Drosophila melanogaster: one gene and its partners. The protein of the gene in region 1 interacts with the protein of each later gene in a pairwise test. Each region holds a gene or a part of one and is shown in the gene's direction. Other genes may lie near its edges.

The links.
Region 2: the proteins of Apc2 (region 1) and Tnks interact in a two-hybrid assay, tested with the Drosophila melanogaster proteins (one study listed by BioGRID).
Region 3: the proteins of Apc2 (region 1) and Axn interact in a two-hybrid assay, tested with the Drosophila melanogaster proteins (3 studies listed by BioGRID, with this or other methods).

The regions. Positions count from the first base shown.
Region 1 is NT_033777.3:24,162,217-24,168,813, forward strand, and holds Apc2 (adenomatous polyposis coli 2), read left to right. Parts: upstream 1-1,749; 5' UTR 1,750-1,957; coding exon 1,958-2,593; intron 2,594-2,656; coding exon 2,657-4,870; intron 4,871-5,067; coding exon 5,068-5,421; 3' UTR 5,422-5,721; coding exon of another isoform or gene 5,722-5,928; 3' UTR 5,929-6,048; downstream 6,049-6,597. Other genes in the region: TBC1d7 (TBC1 domain family member 7), read left to right, coding at 1-175, 236-467, 524-610; mRpS24 (mitochondrial ribosomal protein S24), read right to left, coding at 655-944, 1,002-1,191, 1,252-1,269; CG5510 (uncharacterized protein), read right to left, coding at 5,722-5,928, 6,258-6,587.
Region 2 is NT_033777.3:25,658,273-25,663,043, reverse strand, and holds the start of Tnks (tankyrase), read left to right. Parts: upstream 1-1,757; 5' UTR 1,758-2,256; coding exon 2,257-2,452; intron 2,453-4,769; exon of another isoform or gene 4,770-4,771. Other genes in the region: RASSF8 (Ras association domain family member 8), read right to left, coding at 37-410, 558-629. UniProt on the Drosophila melanogaster protein: Stimulates proteasome activity, probably by ADP-ribosylation of PI31. Modulates 26S proteasome assembly.
Region 3 is NT_033777.3:30,020,858-30,025,855, forward strand, and holds the start of Axn (axin), read left to right. Parts: upstream 1-1,984; 5' UTR 1,985-2,983; intron 2,984-3,569; 5' UTR 3,570-3,765; intron 3,766-4,608; 5' UTR 4,609-4,682; intron 4,683-4,998. Other genes in the region: RpS28a (ribosomal protein S28a), read right to left, coding at 1,547-1,741.

The DNA.
Region 1 (6,597 bases):
ACATGCACTTCATAGAGATTGTGCGCACGTTGCTGCAGATATTCGACGACAACGTGGAAACCTACTGGATAGCAAAGGGATTCTACAAGTACACCCGCGAACTGAAGAAGGAGTGCGTCAAGCTGAAGGAGCAAACGCAGAATATACTGAAGCGCGAAGATTTGTCCTTGCTTAAGTGAGTTTGCATATGGTTAGTCGGGTTATTTGACCAATTTTCTTCGATTACTCCTTATAGTCACCTGGAGCTTCTGGGCCTGTTTGATGGCAACTCAACGCTACTGGATAACTGGTATATAACCTGCTTTGCTGGAATAATCTGTACAACTCATTTGGTCAAGATATGGGACAAAGTCTGTGGAGGGTCCCGGAAGATTGTTGTTTTCCTGTTTGTAGAACTAGTTAAGGACATAAGGTCCTCGATACTAAAGCAAACATCTTTAGCAGACGTCAAAAGACTTATAGAAACGGTAAGTAAATAAGGAAACCATTTGCTAAGCCATAACTTATCCAAAATTTGCCTTAGGTAAAGGATCTTGACGGTGTTATTATCGTAAACAAGGCCATCAAATCACTACAAAACAACAGCAGCGAAGTCGAGTACACGCACTAAGTAAATCTACACTTTTATATTGGACATGTATATAGCAGAATGAACTAAATGTATTTGAAGACCACGTCCTTTTTATCGCCCACCGTTTGCAGTTCCAAGGTCACTGGACACTGCATCCAATAGGAGAGCAGCTCCTCCGTGTAACCAATAAGGAAGTACATTTTTCGCGGTGTAATCGCCTGCCGAATAAGGGCCGCGATCCTAATGGTGTTGTGCTGTCGCTTGATAATGACCTCGGAGCAGACGAGGGCATGCCATGTGCCGGTGACAAACTTGCGGATGAACACATCCTCTATGGCGGTCTGGGACGGACGCAGGGCATCCTTCATTGTTGCTAAGATAGAAGGTGGCCATCAAAATGCTTCCTTAATAAAATTTTCTCACAACTTACACGTGTTCCATGAGTTCCACGATTTGCGGTGGCCAATAAAATGCGGCGGATTGGCCATCTCGTAGGTAAGAGGCCTGTTTCGCTTTGTGGTTATGCGGTATCGCCCGGATTGCACGCGACAGCACACGGAGCTGGTGTGGAATCCTGACCGGCTGAGCTGCTGCACCTCGGTCGCCACCTGGGGCAACAGCTGCAATAGATTAGGTTATTTTAATATATAATTTGTCCTGTTTGTTGTTATTTAACACACCTTTTTCAAGAAGTTCATTATTTTGCGGCAGAAACAATTTTGCGTCCAGCAACAGCTGATTGACGTGACGTAACGGTTCGCTAGAGATGGACAAATTTATAGATAAGTATTCGATATTATTATTGTGTAGTGAAAATATTTTCTATAAAATAAAAAACAACATTGAAGGAAGTAGTTAAATAAAAACACAGAAAGATTAATTTTTAGTTGTGTAAATGCCCTTTTTAGTTCTTAAATGCAATACTTGGATCTCTATTGCATTGATTAAAATCGATTTTTATTTTGTTTTAAAGCGGGGCAGAGTTGTCAACAGTTGTCGGTGGGAAAATGTAATAATGTAATGTAATAAAATTATTGCACGCTTATTTAAAATATATAAATAAACAACATTTTGAGAGCTTCCTTAATAAATAGAGTTAACTTTGTATTAATCCCTTTATTCGAAAGAACTTTGACTGATCATTGAACTTGGGCAGAACTAGCTATAAATTAGCTTAATCGGTAGCACTGGAGCGCTGAGCCTGCGCGCTTGGAAAATGGCTTAAACGCAGGCCATCTCAAACAAAGATCGAGGATCTCAGATCAGAAGGAACTACCTGTTGAAGCGACCGTGCAACAGGACTCATCCAGAAGCAAAGCTGCAAAGGTTTATTCCCAGAATCCCTGGTATCCGAATGCACTAATAGGTGAGGATACATTCAAAGTAATGACGCTGAACGAGAGCGACGCTACTCGCCTGGAGCTGACGCGCAACTTCCTGGAACTGTCTCGAAATCCGGAAACATGCACCGCCCTGCGCAGCTCGGACTGTATCCAGCTTCTGGTGCAGATTCTGCACGCCAACGACGAAGGCCTCTCCACGGCGAAAAAGTACGCCAGCCAGGCGCTGCACAACATCGTCCACAATAATCCGGAGGAGAAGGAGCGCCAGCGGGAGGTGAAGATGCTGCGCCTGCTGGACCAGATCCTCGACTACTGTAACTTTCTGCACACCCAGTTGCAGAGCGGCGGTGAGGCTATCGCAGATGATGAAGATCGTCATCCGCTGGCGGCTATGAAGCTCCTGATGAAAGCCAGTTTCGACGAGGAGCACCGCCAGACTATGTGCGAACTGGGAGCCCTCAAGGCGATTCCCAATTTGGTCCACCTTGATCATGCGGTCCATGGACCGGCTGCCGGTAGGGAACAGTGCAACGCCCTCAGGAGCTACGGCCTCATGGCCCTCACGAATCTCACCTTCGGAGACGAGAACGTCCATAACAAATCGTATCTGTGCGGTCAGCGACAGTTCATGGAAGTGGTCATTGCTCAATTGAACACGGCTCCGGATGAACTGCTACAGGTGAGTTTAATCTTGGAGATTAAGAAAAAAAGATCGTAATTTAATTACCGTTGATCTCATCAGGTTCTTGCTGGTGTGCTTCGCAATCTTTCGTGGCGCGCGGACAAACACATGAAGACTATCTTTAACGAGCTGGGTACTGTGACCTCCTTGGCTCGAGCAGCCATGCAAAACAAGAACGAGAACACTCTCAAGGCCATACTTTCAGCCCTTTGGAATCTCTCAGCGCACTGCAGCACCAACAAGGCGGAGTTTTGTGCAGTAGACGGAGCACTGGCATTTTTGGTCGGAATGCTTAGCTACGAGGGTCCGAGTAAAACTCTTAAGATCATCGAAAATGCAGGCGGCATTCTTCGAAATGTATCGAGCCATATTGCGGTGTGTGAGCCGTACCGACAAATCCTAAGACGGTACAATTGCCTTGCCATTCTGTTGCAACAGTTGAAATCGGAGAGCCTAACCGTGGTAAGCAACTCCTGCGGAACTCTGTGGAATCTCTCGGCGCGCTGTCCCGAGGACCAGCAATACCTCATTGACCACAATGCCATCCCGCTCTTGCGGGCCCTAATCAGCTCCAAGAACTCCATGATTGCGGAGGGCAGTGCCTCGGCTTTGAAAAACCTAGTTAATTTCAGGGCCACTCAGGAGCTTATGCCCAATGGAGATGGTGGGTCACTGCCACTAGACAAGGAAGCTGGCCATGGAGGTACGCTGCCACGGAGATTCAGCTCACTGCGCCTAAGCTCAAATCCCACGGGATCGCTTAAGAAAGTGCGACCCTCAACAGTCAGCACAACTGGCTTTCTGAACAGAAAATGTGAGAGCCGAGAGTCCATTTACTCGGGCAAATCCGATTCCACTAAATACTCAACCAAGTCGGAGGGAGCGAAGAATCCCTTCGAAATTGTGACACCCACTGAAGAGCAGCCCATTGACTACTCCATGAAGTACATGGAGCACAAACCCAATAGCAGTAAGACCTTTGAGATCGACTTGGATCAGCCAACGGATTTCAGTGCTAGATATAAGGAGAGACGATCCGCTCAGACGGCACAGCCGGAGCTGAAGTCGGAGACCAATGAGATTAGAAGTAAGGAGTTGCAACTGACAAAGTCCTCCTCGGCCACGGAGCTGCGCAATAGTCCTGGCCTGGTGGCGGTTTCAGCAGCTAAGCAGAAAATTGCCACCGAAACGGAGACGGAAACGGCAGAGCGACCAATAAACTACTGTGAAGAAGGGACTCCCGGCAGCTTCAGTCGCTTCGACTCGCTCAACAGCCTCACAGAGAAACCGGAGAAATGTATGCCGCCAAAAACTCCAACGAAAACTGCGGTTCTCCCGGTGCACGTTGACGGAAATACGCCTCAAAACATCGATTCCGCACTAGAAACTCCATTAATGTTTTCGCGTCGCAGCTCTATGGACTCATTGGTTGGCGACGACGAAACGGTTGCCTGCGAGGACAATGGATCCGTGATCAGTGAATACAGCCGGATGCAGAGTGGTGTTATTTCCCCCTCAGAGCTGCCCGATTCACCCACCCAGAGTATGCCTCAATCTCCGAGAAGGGACAGAAAAGTGTCCACTCAAAATAACTTGGACACACCTGAACAGAAGCCCAGTACTGTGTTTGAGGACAAGTTGAACAGATTCCACGTGGAGCACACGCCTGCTGCCTTCTCCTGCGCCACCAGTCTAAGTAATCTGAGCATGATGGACGACTCTAATGCAAACGCTATTCGAGGACAGCGTGGAAATGACATCAACGGCAATGGGGATGCTCCTCGCAGCTATTGCACAGAGGACACTACTGCCGTGCTTTCCAAAGCGCCAAGCAATAGTGATCTGTCCATTTTGTCCATCCCGAATGATCTAAATGCGAATGAAGCGCAGCCAGTGCCTGCTCCGCGAGCTGATGTTACCGGAATGGACACTCGGATGCCGGCAGAAGATGCAATCTCTAAGATGCGCTGCGGTGGCAATGCATTGCCCAGTTATCTGCCAGTGTCGGATGAAATGAGCAAGTACTATGTCGAGGACAGTCCCTGCACGTTTTCGGTCATCTCGGGACTATCCCATCTCACTGTTGGCTCTGCTAAGGCTGGGCCTGTTCTGAAGCTGCCAATGAGGACTGCAGAAGAGGCTCAGGCACCCAAACTTCCTCCCAGACGTAGTGCCGTTCAAGGAGATGCGGAGCCACGCTTACCGCCGAAGAAAAGCGACTCACTGAGCTCATTGTCCATGGACTCGGATGACGACTGTAATCTTCTAAGTCAGGTGAGAAAAGGATACTTCATTCAAAACACTTGATATATTTCACCATATAAACATTTTGTGAGAGACTCACTCAAAAATAAGTGTCTTTGTAGATTTAGCAATCGGAATGTTGATATTTCACAAAAGTTAAATTTAAAATGCAGTCAGAAAATTCTCGCTAAAATCAGAAATATTAAAGTTGTTCCCTCTTTTTATAGGCCATTGCTGCGGGAAGTTGTCGACCTCAGCCCAGCGGTGCCAGTACCAGCTCCAGCCTGGCGAACGCTAGTACCAGCACTCTATGCAGGGAAAATGGGCAGTCAAAGAAGCAGGTGGAGCATGGCGATAAGCCGAACTACAGCTCAGATGACTCGCTAGACGACGACGACGATGATGCACGGTCCAAGTCGCTATTTGAGCAGTGCATTCTGAGCGGCATGCATAAGTCCAACGACGCCTTGGAGTCGGAGGGTGAGCCGCCGGGGCAGCGCCAGGAGATCAGTGCCCGGGATCGATTTGTCAGTAACCAGGTGCGCCAGATTGAGTCCATGTTGGCTGGGCGTCAGCACTAGAAGCGGATGGTTGGTTAATTGAGAAGCGCATGCATTTGTTTAGTGGCTTTTAATCTTGTCTACGCAATAATATTCTCACGGTCTCAATTTTCCTATAGTTCAGATTAAAAATTTGCACTTAAATTTAACTCTCCAACACGTGTAATATTATGTTTACCCTCTCACTAAACAATTAAGGAAACTAAAAAGGGTGATAAGAAATGGGATACAGTCGCGGTATAAATATAAATAAAAGTTGCGATCAACTGAGGTCCGGGTAACTCCTAACATGATGCTACTGTGATGAACTAGCTAGAGAGCTCAGTAGAAACGTTTTCGCGCGTTGCGATCCTTGAAGTAGGAGATGGCGAAGATGGCCACTGCAGCCGCCACGACAACCACGAAGAGAAGGATGAAGAAGATCTTGGCGTTGGACATTCCCGGCTTGGGATCTTCTTTGTGCTCGCGCGGGGGCTCGAATGTCTTGGCATTCGGTATGATATTGGAGCGCCGGATAATCTCATCGTGCTGCGAACAAGAAAGAAAGTAAAAAGATGGTTATTGCAACAAGAAAGTAAAACTGGTTTTCAGTAATATGATATAAATATTATAACACACGGCTTATAAAGATAAACATGATTAGGCATCAAACAATGTGTTTAAAGCCAGCTGCTTAATTATTACAAGTTGCAGCAATTAAAAACAAGTTCACTCTTTTTTCTTTATACGTATACGCAGTTATTGAAACTTAAGTCCGCTTTTGGGTTCCTTGCACTCCTTATCGCGTTAGCCAAATAGCAGACAGCTGAGTAATGCTTACTTCGCTTCCGAAGTTTGGCAAACAAAAGTGAACTTACATTTACGTTCAAGTCCAGGTCATAGAACTTGAAACTGTGAATATCGTGATTGTCGGACAGATCACCCGTCGTCGCAGACATGCCGAAGTGGTAGCCCGTGGGTAGCTCAACGTTGGCCACTACAAAGCAGTTCTTCCATTCGTTGCGGTTCTCCAGATCTGTGGAAACCGACAGAATGTCGTTTTCGTATCGAATGCTAACCAGCGTCTCGTACTCCACATTGCGGAAACGAACTTCGCAGCCGGCCAGCTGAGTGTGCGTTCCATCGCGATCGTGGTCGTAGCTCCAGCTGCCATTGTTCACCATGGCGCTGAGATATGGATGTTGGTGCTACAAATAT
Region 2 (4,771 bases), 1.5 Mb from region 1:
AGTTTCCAAACTAACTAGCATATAAAAACCACCCACCCGAAACTTTTTTTCAATTCCTTTGTGCGGTAGCTGAGTTCGACGTTCGACTTTTGCTTTAGCAAAGTGGGCGCTGGCTTATTATTGTTATTGTTGTTCGGCCCCAGCGGCTTTTTTGTTGTTGTCATCACAGCATAGTTGTTATTATTATTATTGTTCTGCTGCTGCTGTTGTTGTTGCTGCTGCTGCTGCTGTGTTTTGTTTTCCGAACGTTGTAATATAAACTGCACATCATTTGCATACTCGCCCCATTTGAGCAGCAGCTTCATTGGATTCTCATTGGGGGCCAGGTGGCGTTCGTTATTGCGCCACCTTTCGATTAAAGTGAATCTGCCCACTTTTCCAGTGGCATGGGCCAAAGCAAAAACCACATCCTGTGGAAAATAAAACGATAATTAGGGCAAACTGACTAGCAAACAGAGCGCATACAGTTCGGGTCACATTAACAGCACTGCAGCAGTGTAAAATGCTTTAACAAGATAATAGTGCTATTATTTTGACCTCTGCTGTAGCTCACATACCTGACATGTGGTGTTCACTGTAACGCCGCAAACTATCCGCTGGATGCCCTCGACCCAAACTTTCAGCTCCATTCCGGCTAATTGTCGTCGAGTCGAGTCTCTAAAGATCGGCCAATTATTTTCGTTTCTTGGTGTTTCTGCTACCAGAAAATTGCTTTCTTGTGCCGCTCCAGCTGGAAATGGGGTTCTACTAATGGTTTTTGGCGCTTGACTGGCGTTCTGCTGTCGCGCAGCCAGCGAAGCGTGTTAGCTGCACTCCGCCTTTCCACTTTTCCGTCTGCTTTTCCCCAACCCCACTTTTCCTCGCCTGTTTTTCTTTTTTGCTTAATTTTCCGATCACAGTTTCTGCTTCTTCTTCACTTGCACTTATTCACAGCAACAACAACAACACGACTGGTTCCATACGCTTGCATGAGTGTTTGCTGGGCGTGCGGGTATGCGCGCGTGTGTGTGTGAGCTAGAAAAATTCTGATTCACTTTTCGGATTTCCGATTTGGTGATTACTTTTGTACTTCCGGCGCGGTAACTCCGTGGTTCTTCACTTTCTAGTAAGCACGATAATCTTGTTGTGAAGCAGCTCCACTGCTTTTGTTTTGATTTCACGGATTTTTAACGGATTTAATCTAAATTTTAAAAGCAAACATTGTTGTTGGCATGGGCATCCAGTCGATGCCAAAAATCGATTGCACCAACAGCCAACCAGGGATGGCCAAACAGGTGTTTTTCAAGCTATCGATAGCAATGCCAATTGGGATTGCATGTTGTTGTAACAGGTACTTGCTATTATTTTAAAAAATTTTTTTGAGATTTTTTCCCTAGTAATAGGCTTATGTGCTTATATTAGGATAATTGAAATTCCTACATGGCCTTTTCTAATTTAAGAATTCTAATTTAAGCTCATAAAAATGATGATCTTAATTTTTGTACCACCAATTGAATATTGTCTATTTGGTTAACAAAAAAAATTGTTTCTTATAACACAATATAGATGCAAACGTCTTTTCGCTTTTCACCAAATAGTGAGTGCACACTGAAGCACAAATTTGTGTAAAACCTTGTGAGAACATAAGCTATTAAATTTAAAAAATATAATTAATGGAAAAGCTTATGTGATTCGAGGACTTCAGTATTTTTTCAGAATGGCTTGCCCCGTCGCCTGGTCACACCGCTTGACTCAACCTGGAATATTCGACCACCCCGCGAACGGTCACTCTTACTCGGTCACAAAACAATGCAATATTTCGCGGAGCAGTGAATTAATCCGGAAATAATCGTCCGTGCCCAGAGCTTTGGAGGCCAAGTACCAGGGAGCTAGTCCCAGAGTTGGTCGCAGTCTCAGTAAAAACGAATCGTAGCCAACCGCGATCCTTGCAACCGTGCTGTGTCGAACCAAAGAAATCCTATTGATTTTGGGTCTGCAATTGTGCATTAAATATTAAGCAAAAACGAGGGCTGGTCGCGTGGCAGCCAGTGGCAAATTGTTGCTCCTGCGGCATAGGCAGGACACCTGGATACAGGATGCGGGCAAGCCAGCGACGGACAACGGCGAGGCTTGTGTAGGACGGGCAGAGCAACTGCTGGAGGAGAGAACTGGACTGGGAGTGGAAAACCCGAAAGCCCACTGAATATTGCGCTTGTTTTTTGTTGCCTATTTTTTTCGGGGCGTGTGTGTGCCAAAGCGTAGCAAACAAGCACAACAATGGCCAACAGCAGCCGAAGTCGGGCCATTTTGAGCGTTAATCTCGATGCGGTCATGGCCAACGATCCGCTGAGGGAGCTCTTCGAGGCCTGCAAAACGGGCGAGATCGCCAAGGTGAAGAAGCTAATAACGCCTCAGACCGTGAACGCCAGGGATACGGCGGGACGCAAATCCACACCATTGCATTTCGCAGCGGGTAAGTGAGATGCGATGCGGTTAGATCCCATCCAAATCCCTTCCAAGGACGGTCTAAAAACGGCAGCCCACCCCACCATTCGCCCAACGAAAGGTTGAAGGACTCGCCCAAACCCCCCGCTGCAGTGCGGATTTGGCCTTGAGCTAGTTGCGCCTGGGTGTGACGGGCGTCATTGTCGTCGCTCTCGGTCGGACACTCGCCTGCTCCAATGGCGTCGAGAGTTGACCTAGTTTCCATGTCGCTTCTGCTTTTGGCTCTGCCTCCTCTTCTGCTTCTGCTTCTCCTTCCACCACCGTTCTATGTGTTCTATATGTTTGGCTTGTTTCCGGAAGACCCCCTCTCAAAAGGGGAATCCCCCGTGCTGCCCCTTTTGCCGCTGCATGTGTGCGTGCGTGCTGCATTTAAGCATTTTCTATTTTCAAAAAAGACTCATACAGCTGCGGTCGAGATAATAGCACTGCATAATTAGCCATTTCAATGAGAGCTTTCACTGTCTCAGCACTGGAAATTGAATGTTTAACACACATATATCATCTGATTAGCTTTGTTTGTTTACACGTAGAATCCCATAGATAAAGGTCTGCAACATATGGTCTGATTGTATAGCTAACCTGTTTCGCAGGGTTTAGTTAGATGCTTGGCCTTTAAATATTAGATTGGGTAAACAAAATAACTCGTGCTAACATATTTATTTTATTTACATTTTTCAACTGTGAGTGATCAAATGATTAATCCTTCGTAATACAAGCATGCATGTTTTTTAACTATTATTTCGACTGCTATTGTGTCTGTTTTTGTGGGGGTGACAGTGATAGTGGGCGGTGGGCGGGGCAGTGGGCAGTGGGGCGACTTGTTGTGGCTGCTGCGTTGTATGCGCCATCCTGCTGACGTCTTTGGCTCAATATTTTCGCGTCTTTTGTTGTGACTTTGGCCTAGTTAGCATTTTATGCATTGCGATTTATTTAGTCAGTCGGCAGCATCGAATCAAAAGTGGAAAGAAACGTCTTTCCCTTCCCCATCCCCCATCCACATTCACCCCTTTCGAACAATACCCCAAAAATGCCATCAAGCTTTTCTAACCGTTTCACTCGACGCCCCTTGCATATCAATTTCGCCTTTTGGCCATTTGTGACTTCTTTTTTTTTTTAAGTTTTGAGCACTTTTTATTATCTGGCGGTGGGTCTTTCTTTCTTTCTATAAACTGGTTTTCCATTATTATGTTCGTCTGTCTTTTTGTCACGTTCTGTGCACAAAAAGTGAGATCTTCGAGGGGTCTGTTATTGTCGGGTGGCGTTTAAGTTATATATATTTTATTGCGGCTGCTTTTCACCTCGTTGAATGTATGACATTTTTGGCCACTCGAAGTTTTACAATACCTGTTGCGGTGGAAACCAAAACGGAGCTCACGTTTCCTCCTTCCTTTCCCGCAATCGTGACACATAGTAAAACGCAATCGCTTTACTTCGCTTCTTTGCGACTATCAGATTTTCTGACATTGGCCCGTTATCATGGCATTTATGTGTGTGTGTGTACATATATATAGTAAATATAGTCGATAAACCCGGAGAGACCTTCCCCTCCATATCTTGGCCATATTCGAGATACTTAAAACATACGTTTATCGCTGGCCAAAAAGTTGTGCAAATTAACCTTCGGGGTGGTAGTTGCAAATCAAGTTGAAATTGCATACATATATCTCAGTTTTTATTCATATATTGTTCACAGTCCCAAGGATCACACTTCCAAGTGGCGAGCAATTGGCGCTTTGACGCTCCAAGTGCAACAGTTGGAATTAAGTTTTCCATTCTATTAATTTTTAATGCAAAACTTTCGTAATTGTTTGCCCACAGAAAAGTGAACGGCACAAACGTTTCGCAAACCACTTTTTGGTGGGTGGCTCAAGCTTTTGTTTGCCCAGATTTGTAATTCGATCCGGTTCTCTTTGCAGTTCATTATAAACGTAGCAATAAGTACGATCATAAACATTTATTTTATGTTGATCATCTCTGGTGTGACCAATTACGGTACCCTATTAAGATGACTCAGATTTCTGGCATTGACAATGCAAAAGTTGCCAAAAGTATGTTTATAAATCGGGGGCTCGGTTGGATCATCACAACTGTCATCCGTTTATATTGATTATTATGCGACTTATTTTGATTATTTATCATTTAATTGTAAGGTTTACTTTCAACTGAACATAAGCTAATGTAAACTTTTTTGAGATTTCCTTGGGCAACAGTTCTGCAAATGCGGAAAACATATCTTTCTTTTCGTATGCCATGGACAAGGTTGAAATCCCCGAAGGCAAGACCTTCT
Region 3 (4,998 bases), 5.9 Mb from region 1:
TATACTGACTGCGAATCCAAGCCAGTGGAAGAGTGGAGTTCCCGATCTCAGGACTCTCACTCCGGCGGAATAGCTAATCACGCCCCTTTGTGCCAGGGGCCACTAATTACCATGTTTCCTGGTAACGTCAATCTGACGCACTTAAGTGCGGAAAATCAATGAACATTAATGACCCGGTCCCTTTATTAATAAATTGTAAGTGGGCCAATTGACTGACGACTGAACGCGACTTTGAAATTCAGGCAATGAAAGGTCTAGGAATAGCAGTACACTGTGCGGAGTTTCGAATACCACTTAGAAAGTGATTTTGAAGTTGGAAAACCGAATGAAATATTCACCATTTAAGCTAGTTTCTATGAATAAATGAGCGCTTGCAGCAACAGATAAAAGTTCATTGACTTTGATTTATTTATGAATGAAATATTCATAATGCATAGGCTTTTTAATTAGAATAATAACATTAAATCGCAGGCAGTAATTTCTTCCGGTGTAGGAACCACCTCTATTCGCAAATGCAAGCACTTTTTTTTTGGGTGTGTCGGGGGGCGGTGGGAGGTGGGCGGTGGCAGGGGGCGTGGAACGAACAGGTATTTTCGGTTTAGTTGTTACGAAATAAGTGGCGAAAATTGACGTGCCGAAAGCGAAGGCAAAAAACCAAAACAAACAAACACGAAAACTCAGGCAAATGCGCCGTACGCTTTGCATTGTTTTTTCGCCCACTTTTTATGGATCGAATTTAACGACAATCTTTGGCCTTTTGTTGCTTTAATTGCCCTAGCTGTCCGCACTCACCTTTGCTGGACTTTTCGCGCAGTGCAGCTGCCTCGAAGGAGCCCAATGCCTGCATTATTTCGCGGTCGCCACTTTCCTTGCGGTCAATCGATTTTTCAGAGCGCCCCGAAAAGTCCAAGTGCAGCAGTGTAACGAATTCGCAGCTTTCGTTCGCTTTTCCGTGCATTTCGGAATTTGCACTAATTGGTAGGATTCCCCGGGGAATCGAATCCGTCACTTTTAATCCTGTTTGCTGTTCTTTTCGCACTCGCTTTTGTTTTTGCAATGCAGGCTCCTGCACTTGCGGTACACACACATACCAGCAGCTGCTACGGCCGCCGCTGCACACACACACACGCACAGCGGGCAAACGGGCATCTCTCTAGCTCTACCCGTCTCGCTTCAACCCACTGCCGCGCGCATTTTCACATTTCCCGCATTTGTTGCTACTTCGCTTGATTTATTCGGCGTTCATCTGGGCGTTCCGTTTTCACTTTCGCCTGGCTGGGGCAACAACAAGCTCGCGATCGAGTATCTCAGCTCGGCCGTCCGCTGCGAACGAGTATCTGAGTAGCTGAGTAACTGAGTATCTGAGCGTGAGTATCTGTATCCGAGTGTCTCGCGGAATCGGAATCAACACAAACAGCTGTTAGGGCTGCGATGGCAAGAATCGATAGCTTAGCGATAGGAAATCGATAGTTTGGGATTTAAAAATTGAACAAACAAAATCGTTTATTAACTTGATTTGGGAAATCAAACAGGTGTAATTCATACATCAGCGCAGTCTCCTGGCCTCGCGTTCAGTTTCCAGCAGCGACAGGATGTCGCCCACGCGAACAGGTCCTTTGACATTCCGAATAATCTGGCGGCTTTGGTCGCCGAGGAACTCCACCCGCACCTGGGTGCACTGCCCTTGGGATCCAGTGCGTCCAAGGATCTCGACCACGCGAGCGTACTGAGGCTTGTCCATGCTGAATACGAAATTCGAGAATTGTTCGACAATAAAAGATTTGAATTTGAAGCTGTGAGTGCTGCTGCCTTTCCAGTCGATGAAAATAGAAAACCTATCTACCCTTCTATCATCCCTGGCGCCACCTGTAGGCCTTGTAGCGCAACATAAGTGCGGACGCGAACCACAAGGTGACCCCAAGTCGAGCTGCCACCTTTCGCAGTGTTGGCAATCCAGTTGGCATCCCCGAGGCGAGCTATCGAACCAGTTCGATTTCGAACCACGCAACTCTAGCATGTAATCGTTCGTCTCGCCGTCTAACATTTGTGTCGAACTACATTTTGTTTTGCCATTCAATAAATCTATTATTTACCACTGAATAAGCGGCGCCACGGAGCCCTAAAAGAGTGTGCGCGTTCCGGAGACTCGGCGCACAGCGGCCCGCAGCGATACGTCCATGAAAATCGAACGGCAACAGCAGCAGCACCCACAACCAGCGGAGGCAACAGCAACAAAATACACAAAATAAAGAAGCAGCAGACGGAAAAGTGCACAAATGGTGCAGAACTGAGTGGAAAGGCCACCGAGCACAGATTTCTCACAGTGCAGGAGCCCGGAGACGCCGAAATGCTCTAGAGGGCGGCGCTTCAGCACGATTTTCTCCCCGCGGAGAGCCCAAAGTTGCCAGCGGACGAGGATGACTGCTCCTGGCGAAGCATTAAGTTAAGAGACATACAGCCATTGTTTACAGCAGGCAGCTCAGACACCGGGATAGGATAGGATAGGATATGCCCTCGGGCCAGCCCACTTGAGTTGAGGAGAGCAGAGGAGAGGATCGGGATCCGTGCGCGAGGAGAGGATCTGCAGCCTTGTTTAGCATTTAGTCCGGTCATCGTGCCAGCGCCTTGTTAACCACACTCTCTTGTTTACGTTTGCTTGTTTGTTGAACTCCACAAATCGTCCTTCCATTAATTGTTAGTCACGCGTCCCTCTCGTTGAGCACACTAATCAAAATGAAAGCATCCTCGTCGATATCGAAATTGAAGTTGAAATTGAAATCGAAATTGAAAGCTAAGTTGCAATTGAAATCGAAGCGTCCAGCCGTTAAAGCTACAATCAAATTACACCCGTCCAAACCCACCTCGTCATCGCCATTGCCATCGTCACCGCCATCGAAGATTGGAGCCAGGGCCGTCAGGACTGCGCCAGGATCAGTCGTCTGCCATCCCAATTGAGTGAAGCCGAGGATACACGAATCTAAGGGTGAGTACTGCTCTTGGAATTCCCATGCACAATCCATAACTAATGCTATTACTTTCTTACGCAGTTTGTGGATTATTGGATTTGCACAACTTACTTAAGGACTAATATTAATACTTTAAGAAAGGCACAACATAAGTCTGATTAATGATCTAGTTGTATCAAGGGAAATGATTGGAATTAGACAATTTATTCACGTCTAACTAATATCTCAAATATTAATAGTAATTTGAATGATCCTTTGTAAGAAATGTGAGCATATATTTTGCAATAATAGTAACTTTATGAAATGTATATTTCATTAAATCGAAGGATGATACCTGATCATTGAAAAAGTCATTTAGAACGCCATGCAAATTCTAATCATCCAACTAAAATATTGCTCAATTAATTAGTTTGCAGCACATTTAATTTATTTCTGAGGTGTATGTGCCAATGGGATCCCATAGAAACTGTATATATCTTTTAACTTCATTAACAAATCAATTAATTAACAAAACAGTAAAACATAATTATATTATCATCCTGCATTCATATCCATAATATACAATGTTACCTATTTAACAATTTACACATCCTCTTCTTTCAGGTACTGAATGTACTGCATCAACTGTAATATAAGCTACGTAAATAGGAATTTATGCGAATAAGAGTAATTAAGTGAAGCGTGTAGTTAAACATTTCTACAAACCGGACATAAAAAGATTCAACCATCTTAAAGGACTTGCAGCGCTATGGATTGATATGTTCTCAAGCGTTGGCCATTTCTCACTTGAGTTTAATCGGTTAGTGTTCTATCACCCTTTATATTCAAAGCATTCTTTAGATTTATTTAGGCGTTTATTGGATGCACCCGTGCGCGAAATATTTTCTCCCCCACAAATCCAATATGTATGGCTTATTGAAAAAAAGGAGGCACTTGGGTGGTTGCTACTGATTGATTTAAAGTTCGCTGTGTTGAAAACTAATTCGATTTGGGCTCTGAAATGTAAATTTATTTAAGCTGAGCCAAAAATAATATTTATACAATTTTATCTCTATTAAAATACCTTCCAATTTTATCTTTGATGCAATATTTATGACTGGCATATAAAAAAGTTTTTTTGTTTAATTTATTTATGGTATTTGTATTATGTTTTGGTTTGAATGATTATTTATGAGATGCACGAGACTAAAGATTTTTCTTAAAATTATTTTCATTGTTTTGGACTTACTTTCTTGGCGAACAAAAATATACCCAATGGCCAAATCTCTTTTCTCCCAATTGATAATTGATAATATCCTTATGTATAAAGCTTGCCTATTATATATACATATTTTATATACATTTATTTATATATATGTATATTTAAAACAGAGTAAAAGTGTTCATAATTTTTTTAACTATCCCATAATGCTTGGTAAGGCTAGAAACATTAGTCTTCAGATAAAACTTTAACTTTAACATATAACATAAATTTATACCAAATGGATAACAATGGCTCTAATCTTTTTTTTTTCCAAACTCTTAACTATATGTTTACAACCTTAGTCTTTCGAACAAATATTTTAGTATTATATATTGTCTTAGCTTATTTCAAAATGATTTCAATTGATCTAATCTTTTCTTCATTTCACTATTCTTTCAGGAACAACTGGAACCATTCGGAATACCAATATCTTCCCCTGATTTCATGTTGAATTTTTTATGCAAATTACATATGTGAGTATACAACTTATTTTTACTTTGTCAATGGTTTTGAAGTTTAAGACAACTACGATTGCATGCGAGAATCTCAGAAATATAAACTAGTATGAAAAACTGATTTACATTGATATACTTAGGTCCTTTTCCATTTCTCGAAACCTAATAATCATGACATCCTGAAGGGTTTTAATAAATCCTTTTTAATTGGTTATTATTCGGAAACTACCTTTTCACTCAATTGAAAAATCCTCTTAGTGCAATAAGGATACCATGATTTCACTATTGTTTATTGGGCTGCAGCACTCTGATTAAGGAATTGAATAAGTTTCCG